4 linked regions of the Saccharomyces cerevisiae S288C genome follow. Changing the gene in region 2 together with the main gene of any one other region gives a genetic interaction. Each region holds a gene or a part of one and is shown on either strand. Other genes may lie near its edges.

Evidence for each region.
Region 1: mutations in SSO2 (region 2) and VHS1 together harm fitness more than expected from each alone (negative genetic interaction), as found in Saccharomyces cerevisiae (3 studies listed by BioGRID).
Region 3: mutations in SSO2 (region 2) and MTC4 together harm fitness more than expected from each alone (negative genetic interaction), as found in Saccharomyces cerevisiae (3 studies listed by BioGRID).
Region 4: mutations in SSO2 (region 2) and AKL1 together harm fitness more than expected from each alone (negative genetic interaction), as found in Saccharomyces cerevisiae (3 studies listed by BioGRID).

The regions. Positions count from the first base shown.
Region 1 is NC_001136.10:953,654-958,450, reverse strand, and holds VHS1 (putative serine/threonine protein kinase VHS1), read right to left. Parts: upstream 2,439-4,797; coding exon 1,053-2,438; downstream 1-1,052. Other genes in the region: YDR248C (gluconokinase), read left to right, coding at 112-693; YDR246W-A (uncharacterized protein), read right to left, coding at 3,118-3,318; TRAPP subunit TRS23, read right to left, coding at 3,504-4,163; MNN10 (alpha-1,6-mannosyltransferase), read right to left, coding at 4,470-4,797. UniProt on the Saccharomyces cerevisiae protein: Probable serine/threonine protein kinase involved in the G1-S transition.
Region 2 is NC_001145.3:626,046-630,336, forward strand, and holds SSO2 (syntaxin), read right to left. Parts: upstream 1,764-4,291; coding exon 876-1,763; downstream 1-875. Other genes in the region: ADD37 (Add37p), read left to right, coding at 2,144-2,740; RTP1 (Rtp1p), read left to right, coding at 2,980-4,291. UniProt on the Saccharomyces cerevisiae protein: Required for vesicle fusion with the plasma membrane.
Region 3 is NC_001134.8:721,423-727,040, forward strand, and holds MTC4 (Mtc4p), read left to right. Parts: upstream 1-3,033; coding exon 3,034-5,118; downstream 5,119-5,618. Other genes in the region: mitochondrial 37S ribosomal protein uS5m MRPS5, read left to right, coding at 1-891; DUT1 (bifunctional dITP/dUTP diphosphatase), read left to right, coding at 1,189-1,632; SRB6 (Srb6p), read left to right, coding at 1,848-2,213; TRAPP subunit TRS20, read right to left, coding at 2,314-2,841; RCF3 (Rcf3p), read right to left, coding at 5,196-5,495, 5,590-5,618.
Region 4 is NC_001134.8:356,111-362,671, forward strand, and holds AKL1 (serine/threonine protein kinase AKL1), read right to left. Parts: upstream 4,078-6,561; coding exon 751-4,077; downstream 1-750. Other genes in the region: TSC3 (Tsc3p), read right to left, coding at 214-456; ORC2 (origin recognition complex subunit 2), read right to left, coding at 4,542-6,404. UniProt on the Saccharomyces cerevisiae protein: Phosphorylates SCD5.

The sequences.
Region 1 (4,797 bases), on a different chromosome or scaffold from region 2:
AAAAATATCGATAATCAAAAGGTTTTCAAGTAGCAAGCAATAAATAGCTTTCCGAAGACTAAACAGGCTTTCATAGTGTCTCAGTAAGCGTATGGATGGACAACGCAGTTGATGACAGAGAAACACAAAACTATGGGGAAATTTAAGGTTATTGTATTGGCAGGTACTGCAGGTACAGGAAAATCAACCATTGCAGGTGAACTAATCCATGAATTTAAAGATATATACCCGGATTTGAAATTCATCGAAGGTGATGATTTACACCCGCCTGCCAACGTAGAAAAGATGACAAGAGGGATTCCATTAAATGACGACGACCGTTGGGACTGGTTGAAAAAAGTTGCCGTAGAATCTACAAAAGCTGCAGCAAGCACTAAGGAGCATTTGTCAATTGTTGCTTGCTCGAGCTTGAAGAAGAAATACAGAGATTTGATTAGGCACACATGCCCTGAATCGGAGTTCCATTTTATCTTTTTGTATGCAAGTAAAATAGAAGTTCTGAAAAGGCTCAAAACAAGGAAGGGTCATTTCATGAAAGCTGATATGATGGAGTCTCAATTCAGGGATCTGGAGTTACCAGACATCAACGACGAAACTGACTGTGACATTGTTCCCTTAGATTTCAAAACGTTTTATCAAATTGAAAAAGATGTTATACAGGTGGTAAAAAGTAAAGTTTTGAATATTGAGTAAATAACGCTTGGATAAAACGAAGTAAATATTAGAAACAGTTATATAGAAATTAAATACGGTGACCTGGAAAATTAACAAAGACAGAACAAATGTGAATGAATAATAATAGCAACTTCCAAAAAAAAAAAAGGGGTTACAGGGATCAACAAAAAAAAGCAAGAAAAAAAATGAATAAAGGGAATACCATAAAAACAAATAACATTAAACGGATGAGGGGGTCATAACGGAAGTGTGAATATAACTACAACTTGCTTTGGCAAGTAATATTTTCGGGAAAACAGATGATCATCAAGAGAAGGTCTATCAATTGTGGGCTTAAAACAGATGTGTAGTACACTTTTGTGCCAAAAAGGAGGGGGTTAGTTAGTTAAAGAAGAGGAACTCATGCGAAGTTCGTTGAATTTTTTTTCGAACAAGGAAAATTTGTTGGAAATCTTAGAACATTCGTTATCGGACTCGCAAGAAGTGCTTGTGAACGAAGAATGCAATCCAGTGTCTGTGTCTAGCGTTCCGAAACTGCCACTGCGACTGCCATTATCATCGTCTATCCCTTCTTTGATTCCATCTTCTTCCTCACTTGAAGATGTATAAGATAAATTCTTGGCAGCTTTACTATCGTGCATGTACACGTAGGATTTTGGAGACAAATTCTCATTCGTGTTATCGACGGGGCTAACGAACTTTTCATAAACAGACTTGGAAAGAGGCGGCACTTTTGATAACGGGCCTTCATTGGTGAAGCTTGTAATAGAACTAACTTCTTTCATCAACTCTTGCAAGCTCATTCTATTCTTCGGATTCACTTGTAAAATCTTAGATAATAATGAGTAAAAGTCATCGGAAAGCGGTAGGATTTGCTTTAGTATATTGGGATCCTTAGTGAAATAATAGTAGGTATTATCCTCGGTTTTGTCAGCCTTCAGCCAGGGATTTCTGATGCATGTCAAATTGATAAGGATGATACCTAATGACCACAAATCGCCATTACATGAGGGACAAACCTTACCCAACTTATGTCCCCCACTTTTAGAGCTGGAAACTCTCCCATCAAATGAGATTCTTTCAGGGGGCATATAATACGAGCTACCAATGCAAACATTTGGCTTTATATATGTGGAAGTAGTGGATAGACCAAAATCGCATAGGAAAACGTTATCTTCTGTATCCAGTAGCAAGTTTTCAGGCTTGATGTCACAGTGGTAGATGCCGTGCTCATGGCAATAATTAAGAGCAGAACAGATCTGTAGAAAAACCTTTTTTACTAGCAGTCCATTAGTGACAAAATGTCTGTTATCTACAATAGACGTGAATAGGTCTGTTGGGTAATAATCCATGACAATGAACGTGCAGACTGCAGATTGTAGCACCTCATGTATGGTGACAATGTTCTTATGATGGTGGACTCTTAGGTGTAGCGAAATCTCTTTATAATGGGGCAGCTTTTTAAAATCTTCTTCTGACATATTCTCAATTGATTCTAGATCTATAGAGGGCACCCTGACAACGTTTTTCGATTCCTTGAACAGTTTAGCGAGCTTCTTTTGCAATTTCACGCTATTTTTGTGTATTTTATCATTGCCCATATCAGCCTCCTTGCTAACACCGTAACTTTGAACAACCGCTTTGATAGCGTATTGTCTATCGGTACGAATATCTAAGGCACGGTAAACCAGACCGTACGCGCCTTCGCCAATTTGAGAAGTTATTAAGTAGTTATTAATTCTGCAATTATGGAACATCATCATTACTTTTTTCTTTTTTTTTTTTTTTTCTTTCTCTTATTTTATTTTACTTTAGTATTTCACCTTAGTATATTATCGTACAGTAAATGTTAAGAACTTTTGTAAACGTAACTCATAAAACAAAAAAACAATGGTAGCGCCAACACCAGCAACAAAAAGAGGTAAACAAAAATATAATAGCAGTGACACAAATGTAAAAACGCTGTAAAGCTAATAAATCAAGTCTTTTCTTATAGCACTTGTAAGTATGAATAAATATCAGTGAGTCTTAAGGTGGCAACGGTAAGGGAGGGAGAGAACCAAAGCAGTTTTAAAATTAAAAATAAAAATAAAGGTTTAATAGCACTATAATATGGCACACTAAATTTAATTGAGGTACGTTTTAGGCTCCAGTATAAACAAAAGGGCACCAACGTCAACATGTATAAATAATAATAAATAAATCGGCGAAAACGTTCCAACGTGCGGCCGCTGCTTGGCAAATTAACTGGACGGGGTTAAGTGGCAAGCCGCGCGAATTAGCGGACGCGGACCTAGATACACAAGCGAGGACTGCTAAGTTAGGCCATGTTGGCGGGGGTAGTGGCGGTGGTGGTGGCGGCATCCCTTCCCCACGTTTTGGTCCCTTTAACGTAACTGGTAAAAGTAGGATCGACTACCCCTTTTGGGTTACACTTTGGTATCAGTCATCCATCAGCGGAAAAAATGGACAGCTTTGACTATCCCTATTGTGTACCCGGTTCCGAACTGGTGTTTCCGTACTCACGTGCCGAAAGCTGCGTAATAGTGCATTGGCAGGATATGATGTGATGGATTGTATGGTGTTTCCAGGGCAGGAAGGGAGTAAGAAAAAGGAAGCAAGATGACGATATAGGCGGCGCATTTTCTATCGCTGGTGTTGGGATGCAGAGGATCCGTCGCAGTGTGGTCTTTTTTCGTACGTAGTAGTAAAAGCTATCCCTATTTATGAAGGAGGAGACGGAGAGCGGCAACTTCTTCTTAGTTCTAGAAGTACGTAGTATTTATTTTCTTGGTGTGAATGCGTTTATCTTCCGATGGCGCGTGCGTCTATTGTAGGTTTTCTACCATTTTTTTGACTTTTTCGTCGAACAGGTTAGATCTTATAGGCATTTCCATTGAGTAAGATGGGTCTTTCATGACGTAGTCACTATACAAACAGTAAACCTTCCTTAGGAAGTTGTCGGCTATTTGGATGGCCAAATTGGATGTACTCTTGGGTCGGTCAGGCTTGTCGGTGGTGGCTATAGTTGGCTGTCTCTGGGGCATGACGCTGGAGCTGATAGCGACAAACTTCAGGCCGGTTAGGGTCTGATATATGAACATCGTGAACTGATCCGTGCATAGTTGTCTCAATCCGCTCTTGTTCCAGTTCGTAAATGGTTCTTTGAAAAAATCATCTCCTTTAAAACTGCCCAGTTTTTCATTATTAGTGTGTTTGTTGTTATTGCCACCTCCATTTCTTGTATCGCTCCTATTGCTGGACATGCCCACGTAAGGTATATATGGGATGGTATTTTCGATGTTCGTTTGTTGAGTTAGCTGTAATGCCTTCGGAGTCAGCTGGCTCGCGATGGCGAATACACCGTGCAGTGTACTAGCAAGAATTAAGTATTCATTGCTGTTCAATTTCTGTTCGTCGTTGGTAAAATTCCGCTGATAGATTAGTCCGCCTGATTTGTTTATTACAAGTATTGTTTCGATGGCCATTTCAATTTTTCCCGTTTAAATCCAACACTAAAATTGCACTTTTGAACTTATGCAAAGGCAGATTCCTTTTTTTAGTTTCACTCTTTTTCTTCTCTTCGCACCGCCCAACTCCTGCCGAGGAGGCATAAACTCCAACATATGATGGAAAAATAAAAGAATGTGTAGCATATTATTGAAAGAATCTTCTATAGGCCTAAATGTACATAAATTATAAAACAACATTTTAAAGCAGAACCAGTAGTGGAAATTAAAAAGAAAAATAAAAGCTTGTAAATGCTTCTCTTTACAATATTGATAACTTCCATTTTATGGGAAGAAAAATCTCGTGTACCATTTCCTATTCAGTTTTTCCATTAAAGTGGTGTAGTACTGCATCTCGCCCCAGCAATCTCTGCCAAAATTGCATCCGGCCATATTCACAACAAAATCATGGTCTTTCTCACTGTAAAAGTATCTTGAGTCACCACTGTATTCAGAGCATGCTCCCGGTGGGAATGCATTGATCGTTCTTAAGGGCAAAAATCCTATTCTCGAACGAATCCACGGTTCGTTTTCATATAATGCCTCTAACGCATCTTGTTCTCTATGTTCCCAAACCATATGTTTTTGTTCATACAGAACGGGGTCCCACCAC
Region 2 (4,291 bases):
TTGTACCTTAACTGTAAGAATTTGCTCAAGCCCTCAAAAAACACAACGTGCGGGTAACGACAACGAAGTGGGCGCAAGACAAAGATGGAATATCCTATCCGATGGGCACTATAAAAGGCGAAGGGAAAATTAGTTTTTTTTCTTGTCAAGCATTTGCCGAGCGCTTCAATGTTGATTGGTCTAGAAGTAACAATCAAGACAGATAAAGTCTAGTACGTGTGCAGGTTAATGCGCAAGTGAGAAGTGTAGATATTGTAGTTGTGATATTTACTATTCTAACTTGGCGCTATTAACGCTTTCACAACCCAAAAACATCAAGAAAAGCCTTTCAATAAATTGCTCTTCTCTTGGCGAAAGAAAGCGGGGGGCAAAAAGAATCACGGGACTTATGTTTCGGGATCTCTTTGTTTCTTCTTTTTTTCCCGGAGAATAATTTTTTAGGACCAATTACCGTAGTTGCGACTACAACAATTGTTGTTCATACCCCCACGATTTACTTTTTGAAAACTAGTTTTTGGAATAATAATGTTGTAAAATTTCCCTTTTTCCACCCCGATTTGTATTTTATTTTTCGTTACAAAATTGGGACTAATATTAAGGGCGACAGTTTTTCTTAAAAGTAAGATTTTTTACTTAAAAATTCTTGTTCTTAACGAAATTACATACGTATTAAAATTATTTATTAGATAGTCGGTATTGTCTTTTTGTGAAAAAAAAAAATTATAATACTAATTGTTAAAAAGGCAGGTATGAGGAGGGTATAGTAGGAAAGAGAAAAGACGTTACAATTTTTAGGTTTTCGGTTTTAATAGAAATTGTTTGATTACACATAATAGGAATTGGGGGGCTGGCGGGAGGGAGGCGCATGTGCTCTATTACTTTCTTGTTTCCACAACGGATGGAACAACCACAACGACAACAACAATAGCAAAGATAATAAAGCAGATGATCAAACATCTTATTTTGTTTTTTCTTGCTTTTCTGGCACTCTTAACGGCCTTGTTGGTGTGACCCACACCTTGCTCTACATCTTGCTGAGCGTCTTCGACGTTTTTGTCAATGACATCCACATTTTCTTGTTGTTCGATGACCAACTCTTCCATGTCATTGAACAATTGGGTAAGTTCAGCCATTGTTTTTTCCAACTTCAACAACTCTTGATGTCTAGCCTGTACTTCGGCCAATGCTGTCTTGGCCTCACCACGTCTATTGGCGTTTAGCAACGCTTGGGAAAAGATCTGCTGGCCATTGACATCGTTGATGGCGGCTTCCACTTCTTCGTCAGTGGCTTCCGGTTGGATAATTGTGTACTGTCTCTTCGCCTGCTCTTTGCTTTCTTCTTTGTAGTTAGAATCGATAATTCTGTAGTCTTGAATTAATTTTAAGAATTTCTGTCTGCAATTTTCAGCTTGTGCCTGTTTATTAGAGTCGTGCAATCCGTCTCTCTGGGCATCTTTGATATCCGCTTTCAATTGATACTGCAAATCTGTGGCCTGAGAGATGTAATCGTCCAAAGAACGTCTCAATTCCATCTCCTGTTCCTCACTCACTTGAGTAAGTAGGTCTTTGTGTTGCGCATCAATTTGGTTGATAATGTTTTCGTACCTGGACAAGTTAGCATTTATTGAGTTGATCTTGTTCATAAAAGCTACGAAATCGTCGCTACCATCTGAGTGACCAGTAGGAGCATTGTTCAAGTCCTCTTGCATTTCATAGTTTTCAGCGTACGGATTGTTATTCTCATAAGGATTAGCGTTGCTCATTGCTGCAATATTTGTGCGTGTATGGGCAGTTTTCAAATGTAAAGTATTACAATTCCACACTATTCCAGCTCTCTTATGGGTATATTAAACGATTTAACCTGCCAACAGCATTTATTTGTCATTTTACTTGCTTTTTTCATCCATCCATTGAAACTAAAAACGTCAAAAAAGGCCATTTCGTAAACAACGGCCGGGTGATAAGCACGTCGTTTAGGGGGGACCCTTTGCTGCCGCTTGGTACCCGGCTCGTAAGACATAAAGATGCCACATATTTACTTTTAGCTGGCTTCTTTATTCACACAGGCTACTCATAAGAGCTTCAGTAGACGCGCATCTGTCGGTTCTTCGTCAATCTATTTCCGCACATACTATTACGTACGATGGCTATTAAACCAACCAAAAGTTTTCAGAATTGTCTAGAAGCTGAAGTGCCTGGTTATAACGACTGTCCGACAGTTTTGTTTTCTATCGACCCTAATAGCGGACCTAGATCCAAATCTAAACAAAGAACGAAATCGAAAAGATGTGTTAGCGGCAGACTTGCCACAGAAGTGTTAGATCTTTATGGGAACACTAAAACAGCTACTACGCCGCCACCAGTTTTGAGGAGGCCATCTGTAACTGCTGCTCAACAAGAATCTGCCTGTGAAGGTGTGCTCGTAAAAGACCAAGGCGATAGACAGCTCCAGCCGATATTATGCAGTAAAGAAGAATTAGTGGCTAAGATCAACGACCTCTGTGTGTGTGGCTCGAAGCTCTCTTCGAAGGAGTTGGAATTTTACAAGAAAAAATTAGATTCAAACATTACCAAGATTTTACAAAACGAGCACACCAAAACAGTACTATCCCAGATTTTCAATGAAAAAGACAAAAATATGGCCGTGAAAACCATTAAACATTGGATGGTTACTGACACAACAATCTCAAATTGGTGTCCCGCATTCTTAAAAATTTTTGAAAATGCGATGCCTAATTAATCAATAATATTATTATATTTATAAATAGAAGTACACTACGCAGAACATTTTATTTTCTAAAAAAAAAAAGAATTCCTATTGAATAATTAAAAATCAAGGTTACCCGCAGTCTGCTTGAGAAATTTAATAAAAAACATGTAATCATCTCATCGCGTCGAACAGCATATAGCAATAAGGGCTCATCACCGCCTCATGTTTCTTCTTGTCATATCAGATCAAGAAAAACAAAAGGTTGGAAAATGAATGAGGATAAAGAGCAAAAGATCAACATACACGATATATTGAATACAAGACCGAAGCTCACCAAAAAGACAGCCCTAGATGTTTTCTTCGAAGATCTGGATGACAATGTAATTACTCCCATAAACGAATATGTTCTTGATTCAGGCTCATCATCATCCTCTTCCATTTATCAGGCGTTGAAGTGCTCAAATAACAATGAGTTTGTTGCAGTACTTTTACAGAAATTCCAGAATTTGCACATTCACGTACTAGAACAGCAACGGAGGCTCATCGAAAGTAAAAGTGACTTATTGCCTATCTCATTGCATGATATGAAATACGTAGACGAACTGATAAATCTTTTGATTATTCATGGTATAGATGCTAATTTGTCTCCTACGATGAAAATTCCATTCGATTCGAAAAGAATAAATACTTTCAAGAAGGGCCAAAAAAGCGCAGAATATGAAACGCCTCGATGGCACACCATAAATAACGATACTTTATCTCAAGTCATAACTGTCTTTTATAATGTTCTAACTAGTGAGAGGTCTTCTGACTACCTGAGAGAAATAATATCAAAAGGCAGTGCTTACGCAAACATTTTATTAGGTTTGATTGTGTTACATTTGCAGTTGCCTAATAGGTACTCTTCACAAATGATTACAAATCTAGAAGATACTCAAGAAACTTATACTTTGTTTGGGGTTTACACTCTACTAGTAGAAACAATTCAAGACGAAAAGGTTAGGGAGCCAATCCTTTCGAAGTTAACAACGTTAACTCTACGAAGACCGGAAAATGGTCTGATCAGCTTGATTGATTTCGTTTTGGGTGTGAGAGATGCTGAAGATATAGATATTGAAAAGTTTAACCGTATCTACCAAATTTTGATGAGTAAGCCAAAAACAATGACAAATTTGCAATACTTGACGGAACTATTCAAGCAAATTTATGATGGTCTCACCTTTGTGAACAGGCCTATCCTGGTCACTTGTTTGAACGGACTAATCCTTAAATTTTACCTGAGGAATAAGAGGATTGTTAACGATTTTTTGTTTAAGAAGGTCCGCTCCATTATCTTTAATTCCCCGTTAACTGATCATACAGCAAAGGAACTGAACGATGTTATAAACGTTCTTATATCTTTATCCAAAAATTCTTCATCGGATTTGCTGAATGATTTAGTTACTAGTTGCCCTGATGAAGACGGTACTACGCCTGGACAGTTCTTTTTATATGTATGGATATATGCTCTTTTTTTGAAGAAAAACCAAAAACTAGACCCATTAGAAATAAACAAATTGTCTATTTCAGATAATAAAAGCA
Region 3 (5,618 bases), on a different chromosome or scaffold from region 2:
TATCTACAGCATTATGATGAGTCGCTATTATCAAGGTACTATCCTGAAAGTCTTTTAAAATCCATAAAACTTGCTCAACAAACGATACCAGAAGATACTAAATTCAGAGTATCTCGTAACGTGGAATTCGCACCACCATATTTGGATGATTTTACCAAAATACATCCTTTTTGGGATTACAAACCAGGCATGCCCCATCTCCACGCTCAAGAGGAGAATAATAACTTCAGCATCTTTAGATGGGACCAGGTACAACAACCATTACCAGGCGAAGGTAACATTCTGCCTCCAGGAGTCAGCTTACCAAACGATGGTGGTCGGAAATCGAAAAGCGCCGATGTAGCTGCAGGGCTACACAAGCAAACCGGTGTAGATCCGGATTATATCACTAGAAAGTTGACTATGAAGCCGCTGGTGATGAAAAGAGTGTCAAATCAGACTGGGAAGGGTAAAATTGCGTCTTTCTATGCCTTGGTTGTCGTTGGTGACAAAAACGGTATGGTAGGTTTGGGAGAAGGTAAATCTCGTGAAGAAATGTCCAAAGCGATCTTTAAAGCTCATTGGGATGCGGTAAGGAACCTGAAGGAAATACCTAGGTATGAAAACAGAACTATTTATGGTGATATAGATTTTAGGTATCATGGTGTGAAACTACATTTAAGAAGTGCAAAACCAGGGTTTGGATTACGTGTAAACCATGTAATCTTTGAGATTTGTGAATGTGCAGGTATCAAAGATCTGAGTGGGAAAGTATATAAATCCAGAAACGATATGAATATAGCTAAAGGTACCATCGAGGCTTTCACGAAAGCTCAAAAGACATTGGATGAGGTTGCCCTGGGTAGAGGCAAAAAGCTTGTTGATGTCAGGAAAGTTTACTATTCAAGCTGAAATACTATGTACATACACACGCACCATTATCTCTCGTTTTACATAAGTAAATACAGCAATAATAATACCTGTAAATATCTCAACATACTCAATCAAATGAGCTGATAAGCATATTCAATTTTTCTTCATAGCAATATTTTTTTCTGTCCAAGTTTTATTTTTTTTCCATAATTTCTGATTTACTACCATTGAAAATTATAAAAGGAAAAATATTACGCGCTACCATTTAATAAGTAGAAACAACTAAGTTCTCGAATGAGATGTTTGCACTGATACAGCGAGCCAAAAAATAACCAAATGACTGCTACTAGCGACAAAGTACTAAAGATTCAATTGCGCTCAGCAAGCGCTACTGTACCTACCAAAGGTTCTGCCACTGCCGCGGGATACGACATTTATGCATCTCAGGATATTACCATTCCGGCTATGGGTCAAGGTATGGTTTCCACCGACATATCGTTCACCGTACCTGTTGGTACCTACGGTCGTATTGCGCCAAGGTCAGGCCTGGCAGTGAAAAACGGTATCCAAACCGGTGCTGGTGTTGTCGACAGAGATTACACCGGTGAAGTTAAAGTAGTTTTATTCAATCATTCACAGAGGGATTTCGCGATCAAAAAAGGTGATCGCGTAGCCCAATTGATTCTGGAAAAAATTGTCGATGATGCCCAGATCGTTGTTGTAGACTCTCTGGAAGAAAGTGCAAGAGGGGCCGGTGGCTTTGGTAGCACTGGTAACTAACTTAGTGTATATACTTTGGCACACTTGTATAATGTATAATAAAATCAGGATAAATCCAGTGTGACCCGGACTGAATTACTGAAACTTTGAAGTGTTAAGGAAATTGTACTGCCATTTAACGCATTTACCTATCACTTAGTAGCATGCATAAGCCATGGGCTAATCATAACAGATTGTGATGATAGGCATCCTGTACTCCTTTTTTTTACAAGAAAATGAGCAACCAGGCACTATATGAGAAACTCGAACAAACCAGGACGATTCTGTCCGTGAAGCTGGCGGAATTGATAAATATGACTACGATAGCCGATAGAAATGATGATGACGAGGGTTCATTCGCACAAGAAAATTCTGAGCTCGCTGTGGCCACGACCAGTGTGATGATGGTGAATAACCAGACCATGCAATTGATTAAAAATGTTCAAGACTTGTTGATCCTGACCAGATCGATAAAAGAGAAATGGCTACTGAACCAAATTCCTGTAACGGAACACTCAAAAGTGACTCGTTTTGACGAGAAGCAGATAGAGGAATTACTGGATAACTGTATAGAAACGTTCGTGGCGGAAAAAACTACGTAAAAAGGCGGTATTTATCTATTATTTGGCCAAAAAAAAAAAAAAATACATACTACATATACATATACGCCATAAAAAATCTCTGCATCTATCTTATTTCCCATTATTTGGACAAATGCTTACGTGCTAATGTCCTTACCCTCGAGTCGAATGCCGGGCTCCTAATAGGGTCTGTAATCTTATAAAACGGGTTCATTAGTGTCTTTACGTATAGTTCGTGTACCTCTTGGTAGAATGACCTCATATTATTGTCGTCAATAACTACGCTACTGTTGGCTGAGTTCCCATGGATCATCACGAACTTCATCCCACTATAGCTAATATAAGCCGTTATTGCTAGTCCATAAAAATGATCAACTTTACCTAGATAACAATTATCAGTATTGTTTACAGCTCTAGATCGAAGGAACCCACCACCGCCATTGGATCCGTTTCCACCGTTCCCATTTAACTGTGAAGTCGGATTAATTTGCCATTGTAAATCTTCTACGATATCTAGTGATGCATGCAGTATGAACGGATTTAATTCTTTTAAATCCTGAGGAAAACCCTGTGGATTTTCTGCATTGGTAAACTCGATTTCATAGACAGGATTGTCCTTCTTACCAATAATGGCAAAATACTGAGGCATCTCAATGTGCTTTGTATGTTTTTTCTGTATTCTCTATTCGTATTAGTGTTTACCTTCTCTTTTTTTTCTTGATACAGATTGATATTATTTGAAAAAATCTGATGAGTAAGGCTTTGAAGAGGTAAAGGGGATATCAAGATAAAAAATATACACTTCAGCAGAGGAGGGGGAGGTACTTTAAACGGATGAAACATGACTCATACAAATGAGCACGACCATAAGGCTGAACAACAACAAAATGGAAGGGGCGATACAACAACAGAGACTGTAAACCCTCAGAAGATGAAATTGGTTACCAAACTTCTCATTGATAATAAATTTGGACTAATGGACGACTTGAATTTTAGTATACCATTAACCGCTTCTTCTGAGGGTGTACCAATATCAGCAAAGACATCAGAATTGGGTACGGAGTACCTCAAGAATCAACAAGAGAATTCAGTAAGCCCAATACTTCCAATATCAAGAAGTACAAGAATAAAAGCAGACAGGGTGAGAATATATTTAGACTATTATTATAATATATTAGAGCGTTGCATTTCAATTGATAGCTCCCAGAATCATCATGAGGGTGTTGAAGGGGTGTACAACCCATTACAAGTTATTAGGAATCGTAAATTAAAAAAGAAGCATCATGAATTACCTACCAGAGAGTTTTATACTACAAAACACCCTATTATTGCCATTAAGCAGTTTTCGAAAAAACCCAACAAAAAAATGCCGTGGTTTGTAGATATAAACGAGAAGTATATGGATTTGACTTGGAGAACTTCGCATTGGGAAGAATTAGTGGATCCTCAAGGTAAGCTTTGGTTCCAGTCTTATAGTCCTTCCAACGAATCGAGCGGATCATCATCATCCCGCCGGCATCATGGACACCACATTCATCCCAGAAGACATTTACAACATCACTCCAGGGTCCGTACAGCTAATTCAGTGCACTCAAACACTCAATCACTGACACCGAAACGAGTCATGACCAATGAAGAAGACAATAATAATCATAACAATAATAACATGATAACGAAGATCGCAACTACTCCAGAAGCTCAGATTTCAAGGAACAAAAAATCTGATCTCAATTTAAGTCACATTCATTTAGAGGTACCAATAACCAATACAGTTACAAACACCTCATCAGATCAGGGGTCATTGATCATCGAAGCAAAGGGCAGTAGCTATGGAGGTGATCGTCGTGGAAGTAGTAATACCAGTGGAAGTGGTGGGAAAAGAAATTCTAAACATTATCGTTCAAAATCAGCAGGCCCCCCGGAAAACGAGAAATCAAGAATGAATGGGCTCGAAAAAATCATTAGTAAAACGTCGAAAGGATGGTCTAGATCACCAAAAAAAAATACGCCTGGGCTTGAAAAACAGGTGCTTCTGAATCCCACTATTAGTAATGGAGGCACCAGCAGAAGGAGCAGTAATAATGGAGAGAGTATTAGTACCAACAGTAGCAAAAGTAGCATGGGAATTACTTTTGGAAACACTGAAACTTACAAGACGCCGGTTGATAATGGGAAAGATGCTATAATACGGCAAAGTTTGTTGAGCGAAGTGCCAGTTCATACCTTGAGAGGTAAAACCAGCAACAGATCGTTGCGAGCAGAAGGTGAACAAGCTCTTGAAAGTGACAAAGAATTACCAAATGGTGCTGGGAGTATTTACGAAGGTGCGCCTAGGGAGAAGACTACTAGTCAAGGTAGCGAACCAGTGGGATTAGTAAGCGATTCCTTACAGGTTGACGAACAGTTACAGAGATACTGGCATGATACAAGGTATATTATGAGTACCGTAGCTATGATGCAACACAGGAGAGAGACACATGATATAGTGAAGAGGAGAGAAATTGCACGAAGAAACGAAATTGAAATTACACAAGATGCAGATACAAACATTAGGAAGACTGCAGATGCTTTGACTCAGTATGATAATGAATTGAATAAAGTTTTAAAGCTAGGTAATGACTGGACATCAAAACTTCTGAACGACTATTCAATTCGTGTAGAAACTTTGATATCATCTAGTGACAGAATTCTTAGTGATATAAATACAACATTGACATTGAAGTTGAAAATGTTTCAAGAGAATACAGAAAGGTATGTTACGGTGAAAGTTATGAGAGCCCAAAAGATGACCAAAACCATATATCGGTTGCTGGAATTTGGCATTGTTTTAGTTCTTTGGACAATTTGGTTTTTGTTCAGCGTCCTGAGAAGCATTCGGTTCACAATTTTTTTAGTTCTAAAAATCATTAAGGCATTGCTGTGGTAATTTGCGGGTCTATGTATTTATAGAAATAAACCATCTGCACTGATATATGAATATATAAGTAGACATGAAAATAACTTTCATGTAGTTGACCGGGAAGAGTTCAAACTCTCATCCTCCAGAAAAAGGCCTCTCTCAGCAGCTTCATCCATAATCTTTTCTCTTCTTTTCTGTTCCTCACGATAATAATTTGTCTGGAACTTGAGCAATTGCTTATCAGCTCTGAAGACAGCACCCATTGAAATCCAAGAACAATGATAAAAAACACGCACTTGAGTTCTGACATTTCTATATACTGATGAAAATCTTCTCAACAGCAGCGCTGAGGCAATACTGAAGAGAGCACCTTGGGCAGCTCCTATACATGATGCAACAGTAATCTACGAATGAGAAAGAAGGTTAATTAGACTTGTGTTAGCGATTTATTCTGGGGTGAACAAGACAGGGCCAGATATATTCTTGAATTTTACATACTTCTTTAGTTAATTGTTTAACAGTTTTGG
Region 4 (6,561 bases), on a different chromosome or scaffold from region 2:
TCAAGTGATAAATTTGATCTCATTCCAAACGATGTCATTTTTCAAAGGCACATCAACTGTTATAAATTATATCCTATAGCCACAAGCAATTATTAGTTTATGTATTGTGTGTATATTTATGTAACTCTATCCTCCATGATATCCTCCTAAATTTTCTGTCCCCTTGCCTCCAGCTTATACTATTATTAACCGAATAAGGATATAAATAATCATTCAAAGGAAGCAATACTTTAGTATACCGAAGAAACTCAAACTGAAAATTGTGAGAAAAAAAACATGGAGGAAGAATGAATCAAAAGAGGCCATTAAATAAAAGGGTAAATGTATGTAGTAGGTCCAATAAAGCTTTTCCACCACTTCTTCAATAGTATTTAGTATGCCTTCTGATTTCCCATTACGTCTTTTAGCTTCCTTAGTGGTGGGTATGTACACCATCGAGCTTTTATGTTGTGTCATTTCTTCCCCTTATGATATGTTCCACCTTTGTTCTTCCGGTTTCTACACTCTTTATCTCTAGTACTTTTAAAATGGTGTCATTTCTGTCAAATTGCGAGCACTATTACTCTTCACTTAACCGCTTCTCGTTAAGCGCGTCAGGAGTAAACGTCATCTCGCACGATATGCTTAATGCATATGATTTGAGTTACTATTGTTCTATCAATTTAGTTTTTGAGGAAGATATACGGATTGTCTGCGCCTCTATATGTAACAATGTATGTATATGATTTTATATGTGCTCTATTTATCGAATCATTTCTCGCTTCTAAAGACTGAGAAAAAAGATCTCCTTTTCCCGTTACTGCCACCACTACTGGATGCACTACTTGCCATCGCTTCACGACGGACCCTTTCCAAATCAAGCGATTGACGGGCCCTAGCGAAGGATTTTCTCATCTCTGATGGAGTTGAGGTGCTAATAGTAATGCTGCTATTGCTATCCTTATCCTTCGAATGCCGGTATCTTTCCAAATCGTGCCTTTGCTTGGAACCAGTCCTGTGTGTTTCATGCTTGCCATTTGACCGGGTTGACAGTTCGTGACCAGTACTGTGGCGCTTATTCTCAGTTATTGCGGTGGAAGCATGAGGTGAAACTCTATACGAGTGATGTGAATTTGGTGCTGGCGAGTCGTTTTTATTTCTATGCTCTTGAGTTAACGTTGGTGAAGACAGATTTACTTCCTGGAAATTCAGATCCAATGACTGCCGCGGTTGCCTTGTTGATACGCTGCTGAAGTCCTTGCTTTTGAATTGATTAGACTTACTAGCATCACTTGATCTTGCCTGGTCTTTATGACCTCTTTCATTATGGAGTGGTCTTCTTTCAGCTGTTTTTCCTCTCCTTGCATCATCCAAATCAATATCAATGCTTTCGCTGGAGACCATACTATCTCCCAATTCGTCTGTTGAATAATTGTTCCTCTTACTGGAACCTTTGCGTCCAGAAAGCTTAGCTTGTTGAATTGATGCAGACGATGAAGACGATGAAAAGGAGGAGACAGCAGCACCAGTATCATCTCTTGATAAGTCCATCTCATTCAAACTTAAATTTAAAACGCCATTTCGATTATTGTTCGAGCCTTTGATAGTTCCTGAACCGCCGGCATCTTCGATACCGCCAGTTTGAGGCTCATTTGTATCTTGGAAAGATTGCTTTCCTGCATCTTCTTTTAATGGAGATAGTTCAATTAAGAGAGCTTCATTTTTAGAGGATGAGTGCATTGGTTCATTTGCAGAATTTCCTGCAAGAATTGGAGGTTCACCCCCCTGAGCATTTCTCATATCTTCTGTGGTATGATTTGTTCTATCAGAGACGTAAGTACCATTATTATTTGCATTTTGAATTTGCATTTGCTGTTGGACTTGCAGTTGTTGCTGAACTTGCATCTGCTGCTTGGCTTGCATCTGTTGCTTTGCCTGCATCTGTTGTGCCTGCAATTGCTGGGCTTGTATCTGTTGCGCTTGCTGCTGATTCATGGAAATAACAGGTCTCACCATTGGAATTGCTGGGGAATTTTGACTTGGGAGATATCCTGACTGGGAGTTCGTGGCGTAATTTTGAGAAATATTCTGAAAGTTGACTCTTCTATTACCACTATCTCCAGCAATAGTTCCACCCAACTGCATAGGTTTATTGGACCGATCCCTCCCAGTGTAGAAATTTCTTTGGCTATAATTAGCAGGTCCTTTGGGTTGGTCCTGTTGTTGCTGCTGTTGTTCAACTCTAGATTGATACTGAGATTCATCTGGAAAGGTATTCCCTTGTGTACCTGTTTGATTTTGAGCTTGCTGATATCTCTGGCCTTGCTGTTGTTCTTCCAGGAAAAAGTTACTTGCGTCATTGCTCAATTCATTCGTAGAATGGTATGCAACATTCATTTTTGGAAAGGGATTATTCGATTTATGTTGTTTCATCTTATTAATACCAGCAGTTTTCTCGTTCGCCAAGGCTTCGTCTGACCCGATCGTTGCTGCACCATATGATGTGCTCTTCATTGATCTGCCACCTGAAGAATAAGAGCTTGTGCTCTTTTGCCTCTGTGGTAGTGATTGGGTATTCAAACGAGGACTTTGTTCAGAAATAGTCGGATCACTTGATTGTTTGACCAATTCTTTGTCCAAATAAGTATCTAATTCGCTCACGCTTGGATAATATAACTCTCCAGGAGTTTTATTTTCAAAAATTGATTTGTCCTCTATACCTGGAGACTGGATTGTATTGATTTCTTGAGGATTATTGGCTGTACCAGAACTGTTAGCATTCGATGTTGTTCTTGACGATTTATCTTCGGACAGGGTAGACTTCCTCTGATCGGATTGACTTTCTTTCTCTTCTTCAAGTTCTTGGCCGACATTTTGAGATGGTATTCTAGAAACAGCGGCATGACCGTCACTAGCGTTCATGGGAAGTTTGGATGAGATTTCAAAAGAAGAAAGAAACATGTCATTCAGTAAGTTTTCTTCTGAGTCACTCAATTTATTGTTCTGCATAATTTTCTTTTGTTGTAGCTGGTACATTTGCAATTGAACATTTTGTAATTTATTCTGAAACTGCGTATATTTAGAAAAATTATAGGCACCTTCCGCATACTTATCCTCGATTGGAACTTCCACATTTAAAATCTCACATAAATGGTATAATACTTGATAAATGTTCGGTCTCAAATTTGGGTTTTCCGCCAACATGATAATGATTAAGTTGATTAGTTTTGATGAATATTTGTTGACAGGAAATTCATATTTGGAATGTAATATAGCAAATTGACCTGTCATTTCAAAAGGGGTGGTGAAAAATAATAATTTGTAAAGGAAAACTCCCAAAGCCCATATGTCTGATTTTTCGTTAATGGGCAGACATCTGTAAAGGTCAATCATTTCAGGGGACCTATACTGCGGAGTAGTATGCACATAGATGTTTTGAGTCAAAAGAGCAATATCTTGATGAGTAGTGACAATTGGGAAACATGTCGACGTGGACCCAAAATCAGCTAGCTTGAAATTGTTTTTGGCATCTACCAAGACATTTTCAATCTTGATATCGCGATGGATCAAGGACACAGGAAGGTAGTGCATTTGAGAGATAGAAAGAGCAACGTCATACATAATTTTCACAATTTCAGCTTCTGTCAGTTTCGTTGACAATCGTTGGTTCATATAATCTAGCAAAGATTTGTTTGGACACAATTCCATTAGCAAAAGAACCTCAAATCCTTGAACGCCATCACGACGGCGAGAGGCGTTGGAATCGAAGTATTGTACTATATTTGGGGCCCCTTTCAATTTCTTCATTACCTCCACTTCATTTCTCATCTCGTTCAATCCATTCTCATCTTGAACTAATACTCTTTTCAGACATGCGACATCGCCAATCTTTAAGGGAACACTTGCTGTATTATCAAATTCATTAAGATACTCTAGGAATTTCACCACGTAAATTTGAGCAAAGCCACCTTCTGCTAAATAATTTACCACTTCAACTTTATGTGTGCCTACGCAGACAATATGGCCTGGAGTGTACCTCTCTACCGCCGGATGGCCCATTGCCGAAACGCTTCTAGAAGTACCATTCGTGATCGACATGATCAGTGCTAATTAGAAAGAAAATAACAGGCGACAGGGACGAAAACAAGAGCTTGGGAAAACGTAATAGCAAAAAATGAATGGCAACTAAAATTATCTCTATGATGTCCTGTGTTGCTTATGCTCCCGAGGCACCGATTCTGATTCAACAATGCTATTGAATTTACTCATTCAAGAAAGGGGGTTCATAGGATTATGGCTTTTATTCAGTATTTTTAAGTTTTTTCGGTTATTGAGCTCTGAATAGGGCATTTTCAGAATGGCGGGGTTCACCTAAAAAAAATGAAAAACAAATATAGGTCATAACTCGTCTGAATTTTCGAAGAGCTCATCAGACGTTTTTCAGTAGGGTTATATGAGAAGTTTTTTAGTCGTTTTAAGATACATCACTAAGTATTGTTGGTTATGGGAAAGCAAAGCTAGCAAGCCTAGTACTATTACAATTGTTCGTGATATGTATACATTTATAGAGTATTTAAAACGGTTTTCAGAAGTTTTTCAAGTTCCGCATACGTGTAGGGTACCCAAATAATTTCCATTCCAGAATTGTTCTTAGTTATGTTGGCCATTTTATGTTCTATGAATTCTCTAAGCATCGACCTTAGAGCTATCTCATTAGAAGCAATAAAATCAGCGGCACAGAGATGGTTGAAAAGTTTAAGTTCTACTCCAGTTCTTTGAGTACCACGCTTAGGACCTGTGTTAGCGGATAGATTCCCCATATTCTGCATTTGTGTTTCAATAAGCAACTTATACATCTTCTTGGAGTTCACAGTAAGTGATTGTAAGACGTATTTCGCACCTTCAGCACCACTGCTGGTATCGCTTTTACCCATCTTCATCACATCTTGGAACGTAGACTCGACTGTCGACGGTTCAAAATTCGAAATATCATGAAAGACAAAGTTGTAGTTTTGGGCCTTCATGTTGTCCCAGAGGAGCGGAGCGTAAATGTGGTCTGTAGAGGCGACTATGGCGATTTGTCTGATGACGGAGAGGAAGCTTAGCATCGTCTGAAAAGTGTTTTTCCTTATGCTAGGACCATCCAGATTATGCACTACAAGTATTAATTTGATATCTAAAGGTTGATTTTTGTAGAAATCAATCATCTTTTGGATCTGCAAAATCACATGATTGCCCCAGTACTTAGTTTCGCTTCTTGTCAACTCAGCGGGGACCAAAAGATCGGTAATCTCTTTGAAGACGTCACGATAGTTACAGCTAGGGTTGTAACCATTTAAAATAAGGCATGGGATGGAATTTACAGGTTTGTTTTGTTGTAATTCATTCTCATAAGCCAGTTGCGAGTACGCGATTTTCGGAGACAAGTAGTCAATGGCAAACTCTTCCAAAAAATTACGTTTCGAACCTACACCATAAAATAATAAGGAGAATCCTTGAGTCAATTCAAACCAATACTGGGGAAACATTTTTTTCTGAATTTCAAATAACTTTTGCCTGGGACGTTTTTGAAAATTTTCGTTGAAAAAGTTTGATACTAGGGAAAACTCTTCTCTGGTAACGTCAGGTGCCATTGACATGGTGTGCCTTGACTTCGCATTAGTTCTGACAATTTTTCTTTGGTCGAAATATCCTTCAAAAGTATCCAAAAACGAGCTTGCTGACTTGGTTTCCGAAGTTTGGTAGAGCTTTTTATTTTTCGGTACAGGGGTTGGAGTAAAATTTCTACTCAAGGTTAATTTACCTGGGGAGGTTGAGTCTTTATATTCTTTTAAATTATTCATTATAATTTGCTTTAGGGGCGAAGTAAAATCATGATTAGTGGTTAAAGACTTCTTAGATGGTGTTGCAGGTTCTGGTGGCTCGGGTGAATTTGATACAAAATTATCATCAGTTTGTGGAGTCACATTATCTTCATATGTTGTGGTCGCTACCTGTATTTTTTCGCGTTCTCTTTTCTCTTTTATCCCCGTCTTTTCCATCACCTGCTTGTTGTTAGAAGTCTTGCTTTCCTCATTGACATTACCTGATGTATCTTTGTCCAATTTCCTCTTTTTCTTAGAGGAAATTGTATCTTTCTCATCCTTCTTGATCCTATCAGTTAATTCTTCCTGTATCTTTCTTGGTCTTCCACGTTTACGGGGAGCTTTACTTGGCGTTTTAGGTTTGAGTGCCGGATCTGGAGATGTATTTTTCCTTTCGTTGCCTACAAGCGAGATTCTTTCCAACAAATTCTTCTTTGATGAATGAATTCTTCTCAGTTGTCTTTCTCCATGTGGGTCAACCCTTTTTGGGGTTACATTCCTGCTTTTTGCCGGAGACGATAGGATATCATTATGCTCTACAAAGTCTTCCCCATTTAGCATGTTATGGCAATTCGCAGTACTACAAAAACTTGTTTTAAAGATATAGCAAATAAGATCAATGATCAATTATCAAATACAATTTCAGCTAATATATTCTACTTTGTCTTAATTTAAAGGTGGTTCCTATTTCTTTATAACTTTTACACATTGTGAAGAA